Linked DNA regions of Callithrix jacchus. The main gene of each other region encodes a partner of the protein of the gene in region 2 in a complex. Links are inferred from orthologs where the notes say so. Each region holds a gene or a part of one and is shown on either strand. Other genes may lie near its edges.

The links.
Region 1: the proteins of BMPR2 (region 2) and BMP10 are in contact, whole or in part, in a crystal structure (PDB 7PPA), measured with the Homo sapiens proteins. The link is inferred for Callithrix jacchus from reciprocal best matches to the Homo sapiens genes BMPR2 and BMP10. Residues at the interface, in NP_001195.2 of Homo sapiens: Asp38, Ser64, Tyr67, Leu69, Lys81, Cys84, Trp85, Ser86, Ile88, Gly89, Asp90, Pro91, Gln92, Glu93, Thr103, Thr104, Pro105, Pro106, Ile108, Tyr113, Phe115; in NP_055297.1 of Homo sapiens: Tyr329, Lys333, Asp338, Ser339, Trp340, Ile342, Ala343, Pro344, Pro345, Gly346, Tyr347, Glu348, Glu395, Pro396, Ile397, Ser398, Ile399, Leu400, Leu402, Val407, Tyr409, Phe411, Ala417.
Region 3: the proteins of BMPR2 (region 2) and INHBB are in contact, whole or in part, in a crystal structure (PDB 7U5O), measured with the Homo sapiens proteins. The link is inferred for Callithrix jacchus from reciprocal best matches to the Homo sapiens genes BMPR2 and INHBB. Residues at the interface, in NP_001195.2 of Homo sapiens: Tyr40, Tyr67, Leu69, Val80, Lys81, Trp85, Ser86, His87, Ile88, Gly89, Asp90, Gln92, Ile108, Gln109, Tyr113, Phe115; in NP_002184.2 of Homo sapiens: Phe309, Asn318, Asp319, Ile322, Ala323, Pro324, Gly326, Tyr327, Tyr328, Thr379, Met380, Ser381, Met382, Leu383, Phe385, Asp386, Asn390, Ile391, Val392, Lys393, Asp395, Ile400.

Annotation. Positions count from the first base shown.
Region 1 is NC_133515.1:45,061,953-45,069,159, forward strand, and holds the start of BMP10 (bone morphogenetic protein 10), read left to right. Parts: upstream 1-2,206; 5' UTR 2,207-2,244; coding exon 2,245-2,578; intron 2,579-7,023; coding exon 7,024-7,207. UniProt on the Homo sapiens protein: Required for maintaining the proliferative activity of embryonic cardiomyocytes by preventing premature activation of the negative cell cycle regulator CDKN1C/p57KIP and maintaining the required expression levels of cardiogenic factors such as MEF2C and NKX2-5.
Region 2 is NC_133507.1:123,697,141-123,703,921, reverse strand, and holds part of BMPR2 (bone morphogenetic protein receptor type-2), read right to left. Parts: intron 2,839-6,781; coding exon 2,666-2,838; intron 350-2,665; coding exon 1-349. UniProt on the Homo sapiens protein: On ligand binding, forms a receptor complex consisting of two type II and two type I transmembrane serine/threonine kinases.
Region 3 is NC_133507.1:104,926,830-104,933,258, forward strand, and holds the end of INHBB (inhibin beta B chain), read left to right. Parts: intron 1-2,025; coding exon 2,026-2,801; 3' UTR 2,802-4,714; downstream 4,715-6,429. UniProt on the Homo sapiens protein: Inhibins and activins inhibit and activate, respectively, the secretion of follitropin by the pituitary gland.

The DNA.
Region 1 (7,207 bases), on a different chromosome or scaffold from region 2:
AAAAGTTTGAATCAAAATCGAACATTAAACCAAAATCAACAGCTATTAAACAAATGGACAATTAATAGCTACTAAACAAAATATGGTTCTTTCTATGGTGATAAAAAAATGGCTGTAACACTGTACATTTTAGGAGGAAAAAGAATCAGAAGATGACTAGAAACCTAAGGGAGCCTGGAGGAAAAGCCAAGTGGAAACATTGTAGCTAATCAATTAGAATCAACATAGGATAATTTAAGATAGAAACTGAGAAAGCATTCCAGTGAACTGAGTATCTCCACAGAGCCCTCTGAACAGCACAGGATGTATCAGTAATGGAACAGGGTGCGCACTGGGCAAGTCAGAAAGATACCAGTACTACCACCTCAGGGGGAGAAACATCCCCTGGGGTTGTCCACAGGGCCACTCTGGCTGTACCACGGCTGCTACTGTCACTAGTTAGGGTGGAAAATGTGATGAACCTGATTTGTCTTTCCTAATCTGTACACACAATCAACTATACCATTAAAAAATTTTTAGGACCAAGGCATTTGGCATTTTTTGTGTGCCTGGTAATGTTTGCGAAGTGTATTAGTCAGAGTTCTCTAGAGGGACAGAGATTTGACTCAACGTCCACACACACACACACACACACACACACACACACACACACACACACACATATATATGGGAGTTTATTAAGTATTAACTCACACGATCACAAGGTCCCACAATAGGCTGTGCACAAGCTGAGGAGCAAGGAGAGCCAGTCCAAGTCTCAAAATTGAAGAACTTGGAATCTGATGTTTGAGAGCAGGAAGCATCCAGCACAGGACAAAAATGTAGGCTGGGTGGTTAGGCCAGTCTAGTCTTTTCACATTTTTCTGCCTGCTTTATATTCTAGCCTCACTGGTGGCTGATTAGATGATGCCCACCCAGATTAAGGGTGGGTCTGCCTTCCCCAGCCCACTGACTCAAATGTCAATCTTCTTTGGCAACGCCCTCACAGACAAACCCAGGATCAATATTTTGCATCTTGCAATCCAATCAAGTTGACAATCAGTATTAACCATCACACCAAGCTTTTGCTGGAGCCTCTAGATGACAATTCTGATTGAGTCAGAAGGACGAAGTTGGCAGAGATGCTGGTCATATTAAGAATTCTTTGCACAGGTGGAGGACCTGAGGTACACATCCAGCTGCAAACTGCTGTCTGCCTCCTGCCTCCAGGCTGATCTGGGGATGGGTTGGCCTCTCACCATTATTGCCCATGCCCTAGTCTGGTGAAATATAAGTGGTTTAAAGGTGTGAACTGTTTTCTTTTTCATCAGAATCAGACTGCCTTGGTTCAAACAGTGGCTCCATCATCTTACAACTTTTTGGCCTCTGGCAATCTATGGAACCTTACTGACCCATATATGTGATGGAGATAGTGATAGGGTTATTGCAGGAGCATGCTAGACGATAGACGTAAAGCACTCAGTACAATGCCTGATTGTAGGAACATCTACTAAATTTTAGTTGCCACTATAATTAAGGACTTGCCCTATTTTTCAAATGCCATTTTAGCCAGATCAAATAGGTAGGAAAGAGACTATGGATCATAAAGTTTATACTTTCTTGTTTCTAAAAATGAATGCTTGGAAAAATTTATATAAATTCATTTATAGCTGAATGAAAGTTTGGACATTTGATCTGTCTTCAGAAGTATTTATTTGAGGATGTAGGCCCTACCACTCAAATTGATATGTATCACCACTGATGTGCATTATGTTGCTTCTTATACCTATTAACTGATGTGCATTATGTTGCTTCTTATACCTATTATATGTATGTGTGAAACTAAGCCTATAAAAACGGAATTTAGACATTCCTGCTGAAAGGAAGTGAATCAAAGGGAAGAGAAGCAGAGCCTTTGCAAGGAGAAAATTGTCCTATCTTTCAACCAGTGTCAGAATGTGAAAATGTTTACAAAATGCTCATTAAAAGAAATAGGGATTACAAGATAGAAACAAATTCTGGTGCACAAGTTTACACTAGGGAGATAAGAAAGGCTAGGCCCCTATAGGGGATTTTGTTATCCAATTACTGCAACCTGACTTTTAGGGGGAGAGGAAGAGTGGTAGGGGGAGGAAGAGAGAGAGGAAGAGTTTCCAAACTTGTCTCCAGTGACAGGAGACAATTACGCCCCACAAGATAAAACTGCCACTTAGAGCCCAGGAGAGCTAAACCTTCCTGGCTTGGCCTAGGGGCTTGAGCGGAGTCATGGGCTCTCCGGTCCTGACACTGTGCACTCTTCTCTGCCTGGTGGCTCACTTGGTTTCTGGCAGCCCCATCATGAGCCTAGACCAGTCTCCTCTAGAAGAAGATGTGCCCCTCTTTGATGATGTTTTCTCAGAGCAAGATGGTGTTGACTTTAGCACATTGCTCCAGAGCATGAAGAATGAGTTTCTCAAGACACTAAACCTGTCTGACATCCCCACGGAGGATTCAGCCAAGGTAGACCCACCAGAGTACATGCTGGAACTCTATAACAAATTTGCAACAGATCGAACCTCCATGCCCTCTGCCAACATCATTAGGAGTTTCAAGAATGAAGGTAAGTTTTTGCTGATGAAATTTGGCTTGGAATTTTTTCAAGACACAATAAGTAAATTTACAATGCCTGGGAATGATATAGGTAAAGGTAAATACATCTATATAAGGATGTTAAATACATATGGATACACAAAAACAAGGTACGATTTGGTCTATACTATTTATGCAGTCATTTCAGAACCTCAAAAATACTTACAAACATCTTTTACAAACAACCCAAAGCCACAAAACACCTATCAATTTGACATTATAATTGGGTTCTTTTAAAAAATGTTAATTTGAACACCAAGTAATACAAAGCATTAATGTTGCCGTATCTTTGCCATTTTCCAGATAGGCCTTGGTTGCCTAGGTGTTTAATTAACTAAAAAATTTCTCAACTTCCACTTAGAATAAAAAGAATAAAAACAGTCAAAAAACATCAAGTTGTGATGTGTGTTTTGTTCAAACTTTTGATGTTTTTATTTTGTGATGTTGTTTAAGAAATGTTCAAACAGTATGGAAATATATTTTAGAGATTCTTCCTAAGGCTGTGTTGTTTGATGTGTCATGTACATCCTTAAAGCACTGTTTACAGTTTCCAGGAAGTGTGATTGGCCCATTAATCATCCAGCTCATCATTTCCATCTTCATGAAGAGTGATGTACAAGATTGAATTATTGGTGAGAAAAGTGTGTTTTCTTCTCCTAGGTGTTTAAATTTGGTAGCTAAATCTAATGAGTTAATTTTTTTTCTTAATAGCTTAATTTGATCCTATCAGGGGAAAGAAAATCCTGATATCTAGATACCTATGATAGAAGCTGAAGGTCCAAATAACTAATTCTTTAATATTTGCCAATTATACCATTATAGTCACTAACCAGGTACAAAAGAGGCTTCTGATTAATATTGGCCAGATGTTCTTGAAAGAAGAAAGGCAGTGGTGAAGAAACAGCTCAGGATATGGAATTTTGAGAGCTGGTTGGCTTAGTGGTTGTGAATAATTAGCTCATGTCTCAGACTCTCAATTTCCTCATCTGTAAAGCGGGGGTAATAATACCTGCATAAAAAAGTTGAGTGATTCAAAAGAGGTTACAGGTAAGAAAGTACTCCATTTGCTATGAAGTGCTGATCAAACTTCAGTGATTACTAATGAGTTACTTAATATTCTAGCTGCTGGAATAAATGCTGAGTGGGTATTCCTTAGTCCCTAAGATGTTGTTTGCCTTTAAAATTGAGTTGGCCGCCAAAAGTTCTATTTCATAACATCTTTCTCATGGAAATGGCAAGCTGAGATTACAGATTCCTTTTGGAGGTGAGTCTGAATTGAAAATGAATAACCTCCTCCTGTGAGAATCCCCCCCACCCCAATACTTCTCAAAACTGAGCCCTAAGTGTCTGGTTCAGGTGAACTAGGGTATGGGTGAGAAAATGTTATTTGCATCCCCAGAAAAGTAGAAAAGTTTTCAGTTCCTACTTCTCTCAAAGAGTATCTGGATAACTCAGGTCAGTATCTGGAGTTTACTGTACTTATTAATCCTGGAGATTATTGAGGGCAGGAACACATCTCCAGTAAACAACTGTGCAGCCTGAGGACAGAAATCACTGCACAGGGCATGCCTTGCTAGCTACTATTGCCTCTTTTCTGACTCTTTGGGTCTGCTTAATGCAGCTCCCTAGGAGACAAAGACAAAAAAAAAAAAAAGTCAAAACCTATCTCATCTTGGGAAAAAAGTGCCACCTCCAATGTGAAAAAAGCATGCCCTCAATTCCTAGCACTGTTCCTTTATCACCTTGTCATCTGGGGAAGTCAGTTCTCTGCATCAGGGCTTGATTTCTTCTGGTGCAAAATGGGTAGAGAATCAATACCTGCATTGTGGGGTCATTGTGAGAACCAGAGAAGATCATGCTTGCAAAGCACCTGGCATGAGAAATTTGTCAACAAACATTAGTTCTCTTGCCCTGAAATGTAACTCTTCCATTTACTGCTTACTGCATTTGCACATTCACAAAACTTCCCAGTGAACTTACTTTTTCAAAACAGTTTTATTGAGGCATAATTTACTTATAGAAAATAAGACATATAAAAATATTGATGTATAAAAGTATAATTGTACATATTTAAAGTGTATAATTGGAAAGGTTTTGACCTCTGTAAACATTCATTGAAATCATCAGCACAATCAAGATCATGAATTTATCCATTAGCACCAAAAGCTTCCTTGTATGCTTTACTGCCTTCCTCCTACTACAGTGAGCTTTTATTCTATACTTCTCTCCTGGGTAGAACAACCAGCCTATTCCTCCATTTTGGGTCTTCTCATGTTCCCTGTCCATGGGGAGACAAGTCTCCTCCCTTCTTAGACTGGGAGAATAAATCCTAAGCCACTGACTTAAGAGCTTGATGATGGATTAAGGTCATATGTCATGCCCATAAATCAATTTAATCTGATGCCTAAAATCATCAGCTAATCAATATTTTTAAAGCACTACCTCTGTTTAAGCCCTTATAGTAGGATAGAGACATAGAAGGGAGTTTTGAGCCATTCATACCAGGAGGATGGGAGTCTAGTTGGGAAAATCCATTCATAAAAAGATGACTGAAATACAAGGTTGTAAATGACAAGGATCAAAGGAGATATAAAGTGCTCAAGTGATTCAGAGGGGAGGGAGGGAACTTTCAGAAAGAGAAGTAAGGAAGGGAGGCTTTTATAGATGTCAGAGTTGGATAGGTGGAGGTGAGGTGAAAGGGCTTTCCAAGGGTCAGAAGAACATGTGAAAAGGTGAAAATTACAGGGGAAAAAAGAATGTTTGACAGGTGGTAAAGATGTCAATGTAGTTGAAACAGAAGGGTTTACAAATCCATTCAATTGTTCACAAATATTATTGAGTGATCACAATGTTCCATGCATTTATGGAAGCCATGGCTGATCTGGAGGCTAAGACCCAGATATAGCTGACCTTGAGAGCCATGCCAGGGAGTTTAAATTCATTCAGTAGGTTAGCATTTCCCACTGACAATGTGTAAGATGATTTTAGGTGGTACCCATAGAAAGCTATTAATTATGTGAAATCATTTCATGTGGATTTTAGCAAACACACATAAGTATCACCTCAAATCTCTCCTTTTATGAATGATGTTGCTTAGGATAAGTCTAAAATAGATAATAAGTGCAAAATAATCAGAGCAAGTTAAAGGAAAATATTAAAAGATTATAATCTGCAACAGGGACTCACTGAGATCATGAATTAAGTATATACTTGGTGAAATGCTGCCAAAGATGACAGAGAATTTCTAAATTGGTGGTCCTTAGCATCTTTGGTGCTGTGGATCCCTTTGAGAATCTGATGGCAAATGCCTTCAGGGCTTCCTTATATGCTCATTACCTGAGACAAGTATGCAGAAGCTTTGGGCTCACTGTAACTTCAGATAGGAAGTCAACATGACAGTATTTGGAGGTATGCTTCCAAGACTAAGATTAGAAGTGTGCTTCTAAGACTTTTACAGAGTTGTTTCATAAACATTCTTGAGTGAGTTGTATGTACCATACTTCATGCCAGGTGCTAGGGGTATAAGAGTAGTGCTAGGGGTATAAGACTAAGGCAACCACTCTAGTTCCAGGATTCATTTTCTCCCATTCCTCTTTACAGAGGACCATATACTCAAAATCGACTGCTGTGACCTTCTTGGTTTATGGCTGTCTTATTGACCTTGTCAGGTTTTGTTGCTGAGAACAGAAGTCAGCAAGCTTATTCTGTAAAGGGTCAGACAGATAATAACTATTTTAAGCTTTGAAGGCCATATGCTCTCTGTTGTGACTATTGAACTCTGCCATTGTAGTGCAAAAGTAGCCATAGACAATACAAAAACAATGTATGAGGCTGTGTTCCAATAAAACTTTACCCAAAAGCAGGTACCAGGCTAATTTTGGCCCATAGGCTATAAGTTACCAAACTCTGATACATATGGAAGCCTTTTAGGAAGACCAGTGCCCAGCTAACTATGTAGGGATCTCCACCCACTACAAACACAAAAATTAAAACACCATGGGGTCCTCATCCCTGACAAGAAAAGAACAATCACCACATGTCCCATTTGGTGGCTCTTTGTTGGTTAGGAAATTTGGGGACTTGCCCACACAATTTCCAAGGTCCCTCTCAGTTCTGTAATTCTGTGGCTGATGAGCTACTCAAAAGCAAGGCTGGCTAAGTTTTATCCCATCCATTAGACCCATACTTTCCATTTTAGTCTTGGCAGCTGAACTCTTTTGGGCATTCTACCACCAACCTTCTGGGATTTCCTGTGTCACAGAATGTTGACATTGTGTTTGTTCTCATTGATCTTCTCCCTTCATTCTTTCTGCATTAAGCTTAATGCATGGGAAGGCCTTCTTATTACATAAATAAGCATCTGTTTTTCTCTGAGACCCACTGCAAATCTGATTTTTGCAAATTTCTTTTTTTCAGATCTGTTTTCCCAACCAGCCAGTTTTAATGGGCTCCGAAAATATCCTCTCCTCTTCAATGTGTCCATTCCTCATCATGAAGAGGTCATCATGGCTGAACTTAGGCTGTACACACTGGTACAAAGGGATCGTATGATATACAATGTTGTAGACCAAAGAATTACCATCTTTGAAGTGCTGGAGAG
Region 2 (6,781 bases):
AACATTTGTGGCATGCAGATTTGTTTCATCTGGGTATGGCATCTCAGATATAGTGGTCATGCCAGTACTTGGAGTGAGGCCTGTGGTGTTTGTGGTTGTTGTGTTGGTGGAGAGGCTGGTGACACTTGTTTCAGGGCTGGGGATTCGAGCTTGTGCTTGCTGTCGTTCATAGTTAATTGAATTTCGGTTCTTTTCCCCTATAGTCAAAGGTGTGCTGGACATAGAATGCTCAGAGGAAATATTCTTCACAATGCTGTCAGTGTGATGGATAGAGTCTTCAATGTATGAGGAGGAAGAATAATCTGGATAAGGACCAATTTTTGGCACACGCCTATTATGTGACAGGTTGCTTAAAGAAAGAAAAAAAGTGTCACATTGAGAACAGACATTTATGACAAACTGTCTCTCCAAGTTTAACACCTCTGATTTTAAAGTCTGAGCTGTTTTTCATTTTCTTCCAAACATATATTTTTCTAAAGGTTAGTTAAAAAGTCTAATCAAATAATCAAGTATCAATTAATAACTTAAGTGTTAGTTTTAGATGAATAAAGCCTACTGAAAAATTTATGTGAATCAGATATGATTTTTATAAATGTCCATTATTTTGGTTTATAAGAGTTAATTAAAAAATCTCTCCTATAGTTTTATAACATCACAAAATATCTATTTATGAACTGTATATTCATACAACCAGACATTATGTTTTATGAAAGGAAGAATCATGGCATATGTTTCTTTTTTACTTCCATAATTCTAGATGCATAGTACCTACTCAAAAGGTATGTTGTCAATTATCTTCCAATGGCCAAATGGTAAAAAGAATATAAGCTTTTAGGTTGTTCCAAAGGCCTCCATTAAGAGGCATGCCCTAGCAATGGCACATATCTTTCTGGAGTAGTCTGAGCCATTTGAGCAAAAGTCCTTGAGCCCAAGGTATAAGGAAGAATGTGATGTTCAAATAAAGAACCAAAGATTCAGAACTGCTCTCTAATTATCATGGGTTTTTCACTGTCATTGTCATTCCTTGGGAGTGACAGTTATTTATAAGGGAGATGACAGGAGGAAAAGAAGAAAGAGTTGTTAAACAGTACAAGAAAAGGAAGCTAAGGAGACATGGAGGGTAAGATTCAGTAAAATAAAACGTAGAGTTAGAGTAACTATGGGAAATCATTAGTAGAGACCGGAGATGAGAAGATGCATGGAGAAGGTCAAGCTGAATGACATGGGAGGCAAAAAAATGGCCAAATCAAGGTGGGGCATCAAGGGTTTCTTTTCTTACCATTAAAGAAAAGTTTGAAAGCATTCGAAGTAAAAGCTTTAGCTGACTTTTGAGAAAAGTATAAACACCATACTAGAGGACATGGGAAATACAGAGATGAGGGGAGATGAAAGCAGAAGACTGTCCTCAGGTATGTTGAAAGTGAGAAAACTTATGATTACAATTGCCAGTGTCTACCTTTCCTGACTTGCTGATATATAAGGTATAAGTTTATATCTGAAACTAATTTAACCTATACAAAAGTAGTACAAACCACATTTTTTACCTATGGCTAATATAAATAGCTTTCACAAATTAGAACAACAGAAAATAGGCCAGGCACAGTGGCTCACAGCCAGGCACGGTGGCTCACGCCAGCACTTTAAGAGGCCAAGGCAGGTGGATCACCAGAGGTCAGGAGTTCACGATCAGCCTGGCTAACATGGTGAAATCCCATCTCTACTAAATATACAAAATTAGTTGGGCCTGTAATTAGGTGGCTCATGCTTGTAATCCTAGCAACTGGGGAAGCTGAGGCAAGAGAATCTCTTGAACCCAGGAGGGGGAGATTGCAGTGAGCCAGGATTGCGCCACTGCACTCCAGCCTGAGTGACAGAGTGAGACTCAGTTCCCCCTCCCCCCAAAAAAGTTTCAAGAATCAAGTGTATTTTTATTTCAATTTTCGCCAGTACCGCTTTCCTGGATGCCTTTCTGAAAGTTTTAAACATGTATTAGACAAAATGACAAAGTCATAGAAAGGCTTTCTTTTCTCCCAAACATGGAACAAAGAAATACAGACGTAGAAAGTTCCAAATTGTAGTGATTTTTTTTAAAGTCTCTTTATTTAAAACCAAAAATCATAGTTCTAATAAAGGAAATGTCTTATAAAATAATATTCATGATGGAATAGAAAGACCTTTGAATTGCTTTCATGTAGTAGTAGTGTATTCTATAAGAAAGAGTATTAGATAGAAAGTCTAGAAACGGTAGCATCAGTGACAGTCGTTAGATAGGCAAGTTCACAGTTCTATTGACTTAAGGAAAAAAGCAGAGGAGGAAGGAATAATAACAACAAAGGATAAATGAGACAATTTATATAGAAGTGCTTATGAACTTTTAGTTATTAAAATGTTTTACCTTTATTATTGCAGGAAAGTTAGACCATAGAGAAATACTAAGTTCTTTCACTATATTTTTACATATAAAAAAAAATGCAGATTTCATTTTGTACTTATACCAAACAAAAATGTTCAGTAAATAGGAATACTGAAAGACAAATGATAACTTTAGATTGTACGAGGTAATCATTGAACCATTAGGCTGGTTTAACAGTATTTGTTTTCTATTCTTTGTTAGGTCTCAGTTTCTAATACTGATTGATAGATGCCACACCCCTTAGGGTCTTACCGTTCATTCTGCATAGCAGTAGACATTGGATTGACTGTTGGGCTCACAGATTTGTTTCTTTCCCAAATCATCATAAGTTCAGCCATCCTTTCCTCAGCACACTGTGCAGTAAGCCGAGCCTCTGCATCCTGGTCCCAACAGTCTTCGATTGTCTCCTTGAGTGACCTCACTGCCTGTAAGACAAAGTACATGTCAAACTGTGTGTCTTTAAAAAAAAGTATCGAGCTTTTCAGTTCACAATATGAGGTAAAAGAAAAATCAATTTCCCTAACCAGTATTTTACATACAATAACATATTTTAGGCTTCAAGGATTTGTAAAGGAACACATTCTCAAAAGGCGATGAACAAGTAAGCAAGCAAGCAAGATTTAATTTAACTCCCTGAAGAATTATTCACAAAAGTAAACAACAGTAAGTCGCAGATGTTTTTTCAAGGCCACAGGTTTATGTCATTGTTGTTAATTCACAGTTCTGTTATTTCAATCGATAGCCACTAATTCCGCCTCAAAAATAAGTTTTGAGTTTGATGGAATTTGGGGCATTTGGCTATCTTCTATCTCTAGGTGAGCTTTTCTCCTTTTCCCTTAGTTAAGAGTGCTTGGCTAGGCACAGTGGCTCACACCTATAATCCTAGCACTTTGGGAGGCTGAGGCAGGCCAATCACCTGAGGTCAGGAGTTTGAGACCAGTTTGGCTAACATGGCGAAACCCCATCTCTACTAAAAACATAAAAAAATTAGCTAGCATGGTGGTGTGCACCTGTAGTCCCAGCTACTTAGGAGGCTGAGGCAGGAGAATTGCTTAAACCTGGAAGGCAGGGGTTGCAGTGAGCCAAGATTGTGCCACTGCACTCCAGCCTGGTGACAGAGTGAGACTCTGCCTTAAAAGAAAAGAAAAAAAAAAAGAGTGCCTCATTCCAACCTTAAAATTTACAGACATGTCTTCTTTAAACTAGTTCCACAGCAGTAGTATCAAAAACAGTCCCATGCTGTAGTACTCCTATACATTAGCAATGAACAACAGTCTCTCTTTTGGGGAAAGCTAGTTTTAACTCCCTTTTTAAAAACAGACTTTGAATAGTTTGGTAGACTGTCATCTATAATCCCTTCAGACTTGTTTCAATTAAGCTTTAAGCTTTGTGCCTGCTCTGATATTTACATTTCCTGTACCTTTACTTTCTTTTTTTTTTTTTTATTTTGTAGGAAGGGAGGAAGGCAGGAAGGGAGGGAGGGAGGAAGAAAGGGAGTGAGGGAGGGAGGGAGAGAAGGGAAGGAAGGAAATCAGGCAATGAGAAAGACATTGCCAACCTGGATCTGGAGGTCTACAAGTTGATTTCTTTTTTTCTTTTTTTTTTTTGAGAGAAGGAAAGAAAAAAAAGGAGTGAAGGAGAGGAAGAAAGAGGAAGAAAAAGAGGGAGAGAGAATGGAAATGTTGCTTTATTCTAAAAAAAATGGGTATTAATAATGGCCAATCAATGTTTCATTTAAACTTATGAGTAGGTGTGATGTGGTATGGACAAGAATGTATATTTTGTGGATTTGAAGTGGGGAGCTCTATAAATATTTATTAAGTTTACTTGTTCTGGATCTGAGTTCGAGTCCTTGATATCCTTATTAATTTTCTGTCTCACTGAGTCTAAGTCTTTATGTATCTGGGTGTTAGGATCGTTAGCTTTTGTTGTTGCATTGATCCTTTTACCACTGTATCTTTGTTGCTTTAAAATCTATTTTATCCGATACAAGATCTGCAATGCCTGCTTTTTATTTATTTATTATTTATTTTTGCTCTCCATTTGGTTGGTAAATCTTTCTCCATCCCTTTGTTTTGGGTCTTTGTGTATCCTTGCATGTGAAACGGGTCTGGATGTAACATGCCGTTGGGTTTTGGCTGTGTCTTTTGATTGGGGGATTTAGTCAATTTAAATTTAGGGTTACTGCCATTTGATGTTAACTCGCTGTTTGATCCATTCGTTGGTGTAAATTCTTCTTTATGTTGGTGCTCTTTACTTTTTGGTATATTTTGAGAAAGGCTAATACTGGTTGTTTCTTTCTATGTGTAATGCTTCTTTCAGAAGCTCTTGTAAAGCAGGCCTGGTGGTAATAAAATCTCTGAGTTCTTGCTTGTTCATAAAAGATTTTATTTTTCCTTCAGTTGTGAAGTTTAGTTTGGCTGGATATGAAATTCTGGGCTGAAGGTTCTGTTCTTTGAGGATGTTGAATATTGGCCCCCACTCTCTTCTGGCTTGTAGAGTTTCTGCTGAGAGATCTGCTGTAAGTCTGACAGGCTTGCCTTTGTGGGTAACCTGACCTTTCTCTCTGGCTGCCCTTAGTAATTTCTCCTTCGTTTCAACCCTGGTGAATCTAATGATTATGTGCCTTGGGGTTGCTCTTCTTGAGGAATATCTTTGTGGTGTTCTCTGTATTACCTGGGGTTGAATATTGACCTGCTTTGCTAGTTTAGGAAAATTTTCCTGAATAATATCCTGAAGGGTATTTTCCAGCTTGGATTCATTCTCTCCGTCGCATTCAGGTACACCTATCAAACGTAAATTTGGTCTTTTCACATAGTCCCACATTTCTTGGAGACTTTGTTCATTCCTTTTTATCCTTTTTTCTCTAATCTTTTCTTCACATTTTATTTCATTAAGTTGGACTTTGACCTCTGATATCCCTTCTTCTGCCTGAACAATTCGAGTGTTTAAACCTGTGCATACTTCTCGGAGTTCCTGTATTGTATTCTTCAGTTCCATTAATTCATTCATACTCCTCTCTAAGTTGTCTATTCTCAATAGGATTTCATCAAACCTTTTTTCAAAGTTCCTAGTTTCTTTACATTGGGCTACAACATGTTCTTTTAACTCACCGAAGTTTGTTATTATCCATTCCTTGATGAGTACTTCTGTCATCATTGGGATGTGCTCGTTCTCCATCAAGCCTTGTTCCATTGTTGATGTGGAACTGTGATCATCTTTAGAGGGAGAGGCATTCTGACTTTGAGTATTCTCAGCTTTTTTACGCTGGTTTCTTCCCGTCATTGTAAATTTATCCTCCTGTCGTCTTTGAATTTACCAACTTTCAGATTAGGTCTCTTGAGTGGACGTCCAGGTTGTTAGTTCCCAGGGCCAGAGCAGCGTCGTTAAAACTGATGGTGCTTTTCTTCCCAGGATTCTCCTGTCGGGCTTCCTTCTTGTGTCCGTAGTAGGTGACTCTGCCTTCCCGGGGCTCCAAACCTCGGTCAGAAGGGGAACCGTTTACTCTGCGCCGAGCGCTGCCACGCCGAGGTGCCATCACAGCCTCTACACCGGGCTCTGGTGTTGTGCTGGGGACCTGTGCGGGTCCTCCAAACCTGTTTACTCTGCTCTGAGAGCTGCCGAGCCAAGGTGCCGGCCGGAACCGCTGTGCCGGCCACGAGAGTTGCGCTGGCGACCCGTGTGTTTCCTCCACTGGGGATCAGTCGCTCGGTGAACGACCAGAATTTGTCTGAAAGTGTGGCGTCCTCTAGTTCTCAGCGCCTTCACTGAGAGGTGCAATCCCGGGATGTTAGCAATCGGCCATCTTGGATCGTCACCCCTAATTTATTTTTTGAGACAGGGTCTTGCCCTGTCTTCCAGGCTGGAGTGCAGTGGCACAATCTCGGCTCACTGTAACCTCTGCCTCCTGGGTTCAAGTGATTTTCCTGCCTCAGCCTGCCAAGTAGCTGGGATTACAGATACCTGCCACCATGCCTGGCTAATTTTTGTATTTTTAGTAGAGACGGGGTTTCACCATGTTGACCAGGCTGGTCTTGAACTACTGACCTTGGGTGATCCACCTGCCTCAGCCTCCCAAAGCACTGGGATTACAGGCAGGAGCCACCACACCTGGCCAAAACTCCCCAAATTTAGTAAAATAAATAAATCTAGGCTAGGTATGATGGCTAACACCTGTAATCCCAGCAGTTTGAGAGCAATCTGGCCAATATGGTGAAACCCTGTCTCTACTAAAAACAAAAAAATTAGCTAGGTATGGGGTCAGGCACCTGTAATCCCAGCTACTTGGGAGGCTGAGGCAGGAGAATTGCTTGAACCTGGGTAGTGAAGGTTGCAGTGAGCCAAGAGCCGAGATCATGCCACTGCACT
Region 3 (6,429 bases), about 19 Mb from region 2:
GAGAGAGAGAGAGTGTGTGTGTGTGTGTCTGTGTGTATGTGTGTGTGTGCCTGCGTGAGAGGCCCCTGGGGCCGCTTCCATCACCGGCGGCGTGGGCTTGCCAGGATTGCTGAAGCCTCGCTGGGGAGAGCTAGGCAACCTCTCTTCCGATTGTGTGGGCACCGGAATCGGGCGGAAGGCAGGCTTCTCAACAGGTCCATCATTTACACAGAGAAAGCCGCGGCTCGGGGACAGCCGGGTGCCTTTCGGCTAGCCTGGCAGCTGCAGCAGACCCCTCGCCCGAGAGGCACAGAGTCGTAGTTAACAAAGGGGTTGGCTCCTTTCTGGAATCCCCCCACCCACCCTAAGGCCCCAGATTGCAAATCCCTAACACTGTCTAAATATAAAAATCAGAGAGAGAAAAATCTTTCGGAACTTTAAAAGAAGGAGAAAAATGTGCCCGCGCCAAAATGCTGCAAGTGCTTTCGACTCCGCTGTCCTTTTCAGGACTTGAATGAGCCAGGCTGGCTTTTGTGCCTGGAGCTCGGCCCCATTTGTGCTGAGGGGACTGCGGAGAAGGTCGCAGAGGGGGAAGCCCCGGTGCAGTCAGGGCGGGGGCAAGCGGGGAGCCTGGGTGGGGGAGCAGTTGTGCCCCTAGCTGCAGATGCCCCCCCCCCACACCCCCAGGCAGCAGGCAGCCTGGGGATGAAAAGGGATGAAAAGTTTTGCATGGCCGGGTGTGGAGAAAAGCAGAGACAATCGGGGCTGGTTTGTGCTTAGAAAGAAATGCATTGCCGTTTTAGCTGTCCACTAAAGTGAGTCAGGGAAAGCTCGCCATGCAATTAGAGGGCTCGGATTAAAAGGTGCTTTGGGGCCCAGAGTTAGAAATGTGATTCTGGAAGGTCGAGGAGGCCTTTTGGTCCCGGTGGCACAAAATGACAGCGGGGGCTGTTATATTTCTGGTCCGTTTCACGGAGCCAGCTCTTTGACTTATAAATAACAGATTCAGGTCACAGGCAGCTCGTCCAAGACCAGCTTTTAAGGCCGCAGTTTCCCCCATTTCAAAGTCAGATGTCAGTGTTATTAGAGGAGCCAGGCGAGGCCTGAGATGGGGGCTTGGGAGGGGCATGGTGGGAGGTTTGATAAAACCAGCCCTGGCCACAGAGTTTCGTTATTTGTTCTTCGTGGAAAAAATAAAAAAAGAAAAGAAAAACGTAGATTGTCAGAGGGAAGGGTCATGGAAAAGTAGGATGAGAGGGGAGGCATCTCTTGATTGGCACAGCTTTCTTCTTGTTAAGCTGGATTATTGAGAAAATTAACAAGCCAGCTCCCCTATTCCTTGGAGATTTTGAACGTGCCATTAACGGGGAGCCAGAGTCTTGTCAAAGGATTGGACCTCAAGTTTCAAGGCTGAATGTCCTGTCCCTTGGAACTACTCGGAAACAAGGGCCAGGCTCTGCAGCCTGCAAAGCACACGTCCCTGTGTCAGAAACCTGAGTAGAGCTGCTTGTTTGCAATGGAGGTTCCACTGGGGGTTGGATCAGATCGTACTTAGGTAAACACTGGAAAGAGGCGGTAGGTGGCTCAGCTTGATTTTGCAATGCATTAAGTTAACCAAAAAAAAAAAAAAAAAAAAAGCCCTACTAAAACCACCCACCCCTGCGATCCTGGTTTTGTTTTTCAGATTTCACAGATACCCATAACAACTTGTTAAGATCTTGGCCCCCTGACAAGTTCTTCTGTTGTTCTTTGAGGCCTGACAGCCTGTCTCCAGGGAGCCCTGGCCTGGGAGAGGTGAGGCAGGATTTTATAGGCCTGGACCCTCCAGCCCCAACCTGGTCCGGGTTTCTCAATGGGAAACAATTTTCTCTGCCTCTCCCAGGTTACAGTCAGAGGCCCTGGCCCCAAGAACGGTATTTCTGGTTAATAACGTTTTCCAGCTGTGTGGCGAGTTGCATTCCAGCATCCTGCAGCAGAGAGTGTGTTTCCCCCATAGCCTCGTGTTCTCCTTGAGTTAACTTGGCCTGCTCTTCCCCTTTTCTGCAGATGGCCTCGCTTCCTCGCGGGTCCGCCTGTACTTCTTCATCTCCAATGAAGGCAACCAGAACCTGTTTGTGGTCCAGGCCAGCCTGTGGCTTTACCTGAAACTCCTGCCCTACGTCCTGGAGAAGGGCAGCCGGCGGAAGGTTCGGGTCAAAGTGTACTTCCAGGAGCAGGGCCACGGTGACAGGTGGAACGTGGTGGAGAAGAGGGTGGACCTCAAGCGCAGCGGCTGGCACACCTTCCCACTCACAGAGGCCATCCAGGCCTTGTTTGAACGGGGCGAGCGGCGACTCAACCTGGACGTGCAGTGTGACAGCTGCCAGGAGCTGGCCGTGGTGCCGGTGTTCGTGGACCCAGGGGAAGAGTCACACAGGCCCTTTGTGGTAGTGCAGGCTCGGCTGGGCGACAGCAGGCACCGCATTCGAAAGCGAGGCCTGGAGTGCGATGGCCGGACCAACCTCTGTTGCAGGCAACAGTTCTTCATTGACTTCCGCCTCATCGGCTGGAATGACTGGATCATCGCACCCACCGGCTACTATGGGAACTACTGTGAGGGCAGCTGCCCAGCCTATCTGGCAGGGGTCCCCGGCTCTGCCTCCTCTTTCCACACGGCTGTGGTGAACCAGTACCGCATGCGGGGCCTGAACCCCGGCACAGTGAACTCCTGCTGCATCCCCACCAAGTTGAGCACCATGTCCATGCTGTACTTTGATGATGAGTACAACATCGTCAAGCGGGACGTGCCCAACATGATTGTGGAGGAGTGCGGCTGTGCCTGACAGTGCAGGGTGGGGGCACGGTGCTGGGGCGAGGAGGACAGTCCTGGGTGGGCTTCTTCCAGCCCCCGCGGGAACGGGGGTGCACGGTGGGCTGGGCACAGTCATTCTGTTGGGCTGTGGAGAAGGTGCCAGGGTGCGGCCTGAGATATTCTTCTACGACTTCATAGAGCAAACAGTCAAAACCAGAGCGAGAACCCTCAACTGACATGAAATACTTTAAAATGCACACGTAGCCACGCACAGCCAGACGCATCCTGCCACCCACACAGCAGCCTCTAGGATACCAGCAAATGGATGCGGTGACAAATGGCAGCTTAGCTACAAATGCCTGTCAGTTGGAGAGAATGGGGTGAGCAGCCACCATTCCCACCAGCTGGCCTGGCCACTCTGAATTGCGCCTTCCGAGCACACATAAAAGCACAAAGACAGAGACACACACAGAGAGAGAGAGAGCCACGGAGAGGAAAAGCAGATGCAAGGGTGGGGAGCGCGGCCAGGCAGAGGCTGTGTGTGCCCCGTGGCTTTCACCAGGCCTGCTCTGCCACCACATCTCCGGCTCAATATCTGCTTCTTCCCCAGCCTGGGATCCTTCGTGCTTCAAGACCAAGAGAGCCTGTCCTCCCACACCCTTGCCAAGGGAAAGAGACCCAGAAAGGACATAACCCATCAGAGACCGGGGAGCAGGGGCAAGTGACTGTTCGTCGATTGGGCCTCTGACTTGACTTATGTGTGTTTTTTTGGAGTGGGGAGGGAGGGAGAGAAGAGGGGGCTAAATTTAATGCTTTAACTGATCTCCAACGATTGACAGGTCATCCTTGCCAGTTGTATAACTGAAAAAGGACTTTTCTACCAGGTATGACCTTTGAAGTGAAAATCTGAATTGTTCTAAATGGAAAGGAAAAAAGTTGCAATCTGTGCCCTTCACTGGGGACATTCCTTTAGGACTGTTTTGGGGAGGGGTGGGAATGACCCCTAGGCAAGGGGATGAGACCACAGGGGGAAACGGTGGGGAGGAGGCATTCTTGAACTGCTGAGGGTGGAGGGTGCCCCTTCAGCAGAGGCTGAGGGAAGGGAGCAGCTTAGTTGGTCTTGGAGAGATGGGGAAGGCTTTCAGCTGATTTGTAGAAGTTGCCCATGTGGGCCCCAGCCATCAGGGCCGGCCATGGACGTGGCCCCTGCCCACCTGCCTGCCCGCATAGCACTTGCAGACCTGCCTGAAGGCACATGACACAGCACTTGCCGATCCACGTGTGTCCAGAAGTGGCCCTTGGCTGAGCACCGAACTCGCTCGCCCTCTAGATGTCCAAGTGCCACGTGAACTATGCAATTTAAAGGGTTGACCCACACTAGATGAAACTGGACTCGTACGACTCTTTTTATATTTTTTATACTTGAAATGAAATCCTTTGCTTCTTTTTTAAGCGAATGATTGCTTTTAATGTTTGCACTGATTTAGTTGCATGATTAGTCAGAAACTGCCATTTGAAAAAAGAAGTTATTTTTATAGCAGCAAAAAAATGAATACAGTTAAATGTATTATACATAATTTTGGAACCAAAGAGGCCAACAGATCAGTTTTAATTTTATTAGACGGTGAGGCCATCTGATGTGAGGTGGACGTTCTGAACGGTCCCTTGAGTGGCCTGCCAACGTTTCAGGGTATGAATGGATTTTGTTTATTCGGTTCGATGTGTCTTTTCTATCCTTACACACCCAGAAGGTAGAGTAAAAATGGCTATGATAGAATGCAGGTGTGTATCCTTAAATCCCCATCTTTATGTTTATTTAATAAAGCTCCCCTTAGGTTCTGTTTCATAATAATTTAAAACCAAACAATTTTCCCATAGACTTGCTGTTAAAGTATTTTACGTTTGTGTACAGTTTAAGAAAATAAAAGATTGAGTGCCACGGGCCTCCTGCCTTGTGTGATGTCTGGGTCAGGGAGGCCTGGGCTGGAGGTGGGCAGCTGGGAGGAAGGCCAGTCCAGGTGTCCTTGGATGCCAGCAATCTCCTTGGCCTGCTCCTGGCATCTCTGCTTCCTTGCCACGAGATGGATGTCAGGCAGAGATTCCAGGAAAAATGGCAGAAGATCAAAATGAAGGACAATTAGCAAATTCATGAATTACACATTTGTTTACCCTTCTAGTCCCAAGACTGATTACGTTTCACCAAGGCCACATTCATTACCATTTGAAAGTGCTGGGTAAGCCCCCAGCCCCAGATGGAGCTGTAAAACCCTAAAGGCTGAGGTCTAGCTGACCTCCGCTCACCTCTATTTACAGGTGACTGGGACCCAGAAGAGTATTTGGGATAGAAGGGTAAACAGAGTCAGGCTGTGAGTGTGGGAATGAGGCCTTCCTGAGGGGGCTGAGTGGTGGAGAGTGGTGGTAGGGGCAGTGTAGTAACGACGGCCGCTGCGCAGGTCTGAGATACCTGCCGAGTCCTGTTACCGTGCAGCATCGTGCCTTTGTGGAAAGTGGCTTTGTCTGCATTTCCCAGATTTGGGAAAGTCTGAGGCTTAGAGCGTTCAGAGCCTGCCTGAGGTTACAGCCAGGACAGGGACCCTGCACATTTGAGCCCACCTGTTTCCCTGGAGGACTGCAGCCGTGTGCCCTTGACTTCCGCTGAGGCCCTGCAGGGCTGCTGGGGCTCTACCTTGGGGTTTGGGTAGCATGAGGTCTTCCCAGAGCTCAGGACATTTGAGCACGTGGGACTTTAAGGGATCATCTAACCTCATCAAGGTAGTGGGAAACTGAGGGAAGCCCAGATGGCTAAAGGGCGTAGCTCAATCGGCACAGCCAGCTGGTGGCAGGAGGCAGCCTCTAACCTCTGTCTTTTTCCATTCTTTGCCCAAACAAGGGAGCTACTGCCCTGCCAGGCTTTTGGCCTGAGGGCAGGATTGGTCATCTGGGAAGCGGTGAAACAGTATTACTGTAATTCACAGGGGAAAGAAGAAAGTGTCGCAAAGACAGTTCTGGCCTCTGCGTTTCAGGCAGTGAGTCACGGCCTCTCTGCCCTCTACTCTGCTAGGGCTGGATGTAGCTGCTGGCGGCACCAGGCCCCCCGCCCAGCCCTGCCTCCCTGCTGCCCTGGGACTTTTCTCAGGTAGTGGCCAGGAGGTGCAAGATGACTCACTGAGGTGCTTCTGCTGTTTGAACATTGAGCACCTACCCAGGCCTTTCCAGGCTGAGCATCACAGGATGGCCCCACAAGTCTTGAAGTAGCCCCAGGAAGAGCCTGGGAACCCCAGGGGCACAAGGCCTTGGTGCTTGCTGACCTGGTCCCTGAGTGACTCTGCTGCCCTATGCTGGCACCTGTTCCTGTGGGGTCTGGCCTGGGGCCACTGGTGGACAGCAGTTCCTATTTCTGAGAGAGGCAGTGAGGACAGGCACTGGCGCCGTCTCCGCTGGACGTCCCCACACCAGCAGGGTCTCCTGTGCTGCTGTGGTCACTGCTCTCCTTGCTCTGTTCCCCCTACTCAATGCTCCAGCCTCTTCCGTCTGCTCTTATTTCCCCAGTGGTCCAGCCTGAGGGCCCTGCCTCTCTCTGAAAATGTCACCGGAGCCCAGCTCTGCCCCCAGGTCCACTGCCTCTGGCTGAACTCTCCGATGCTGGACTTCAAGGTCCC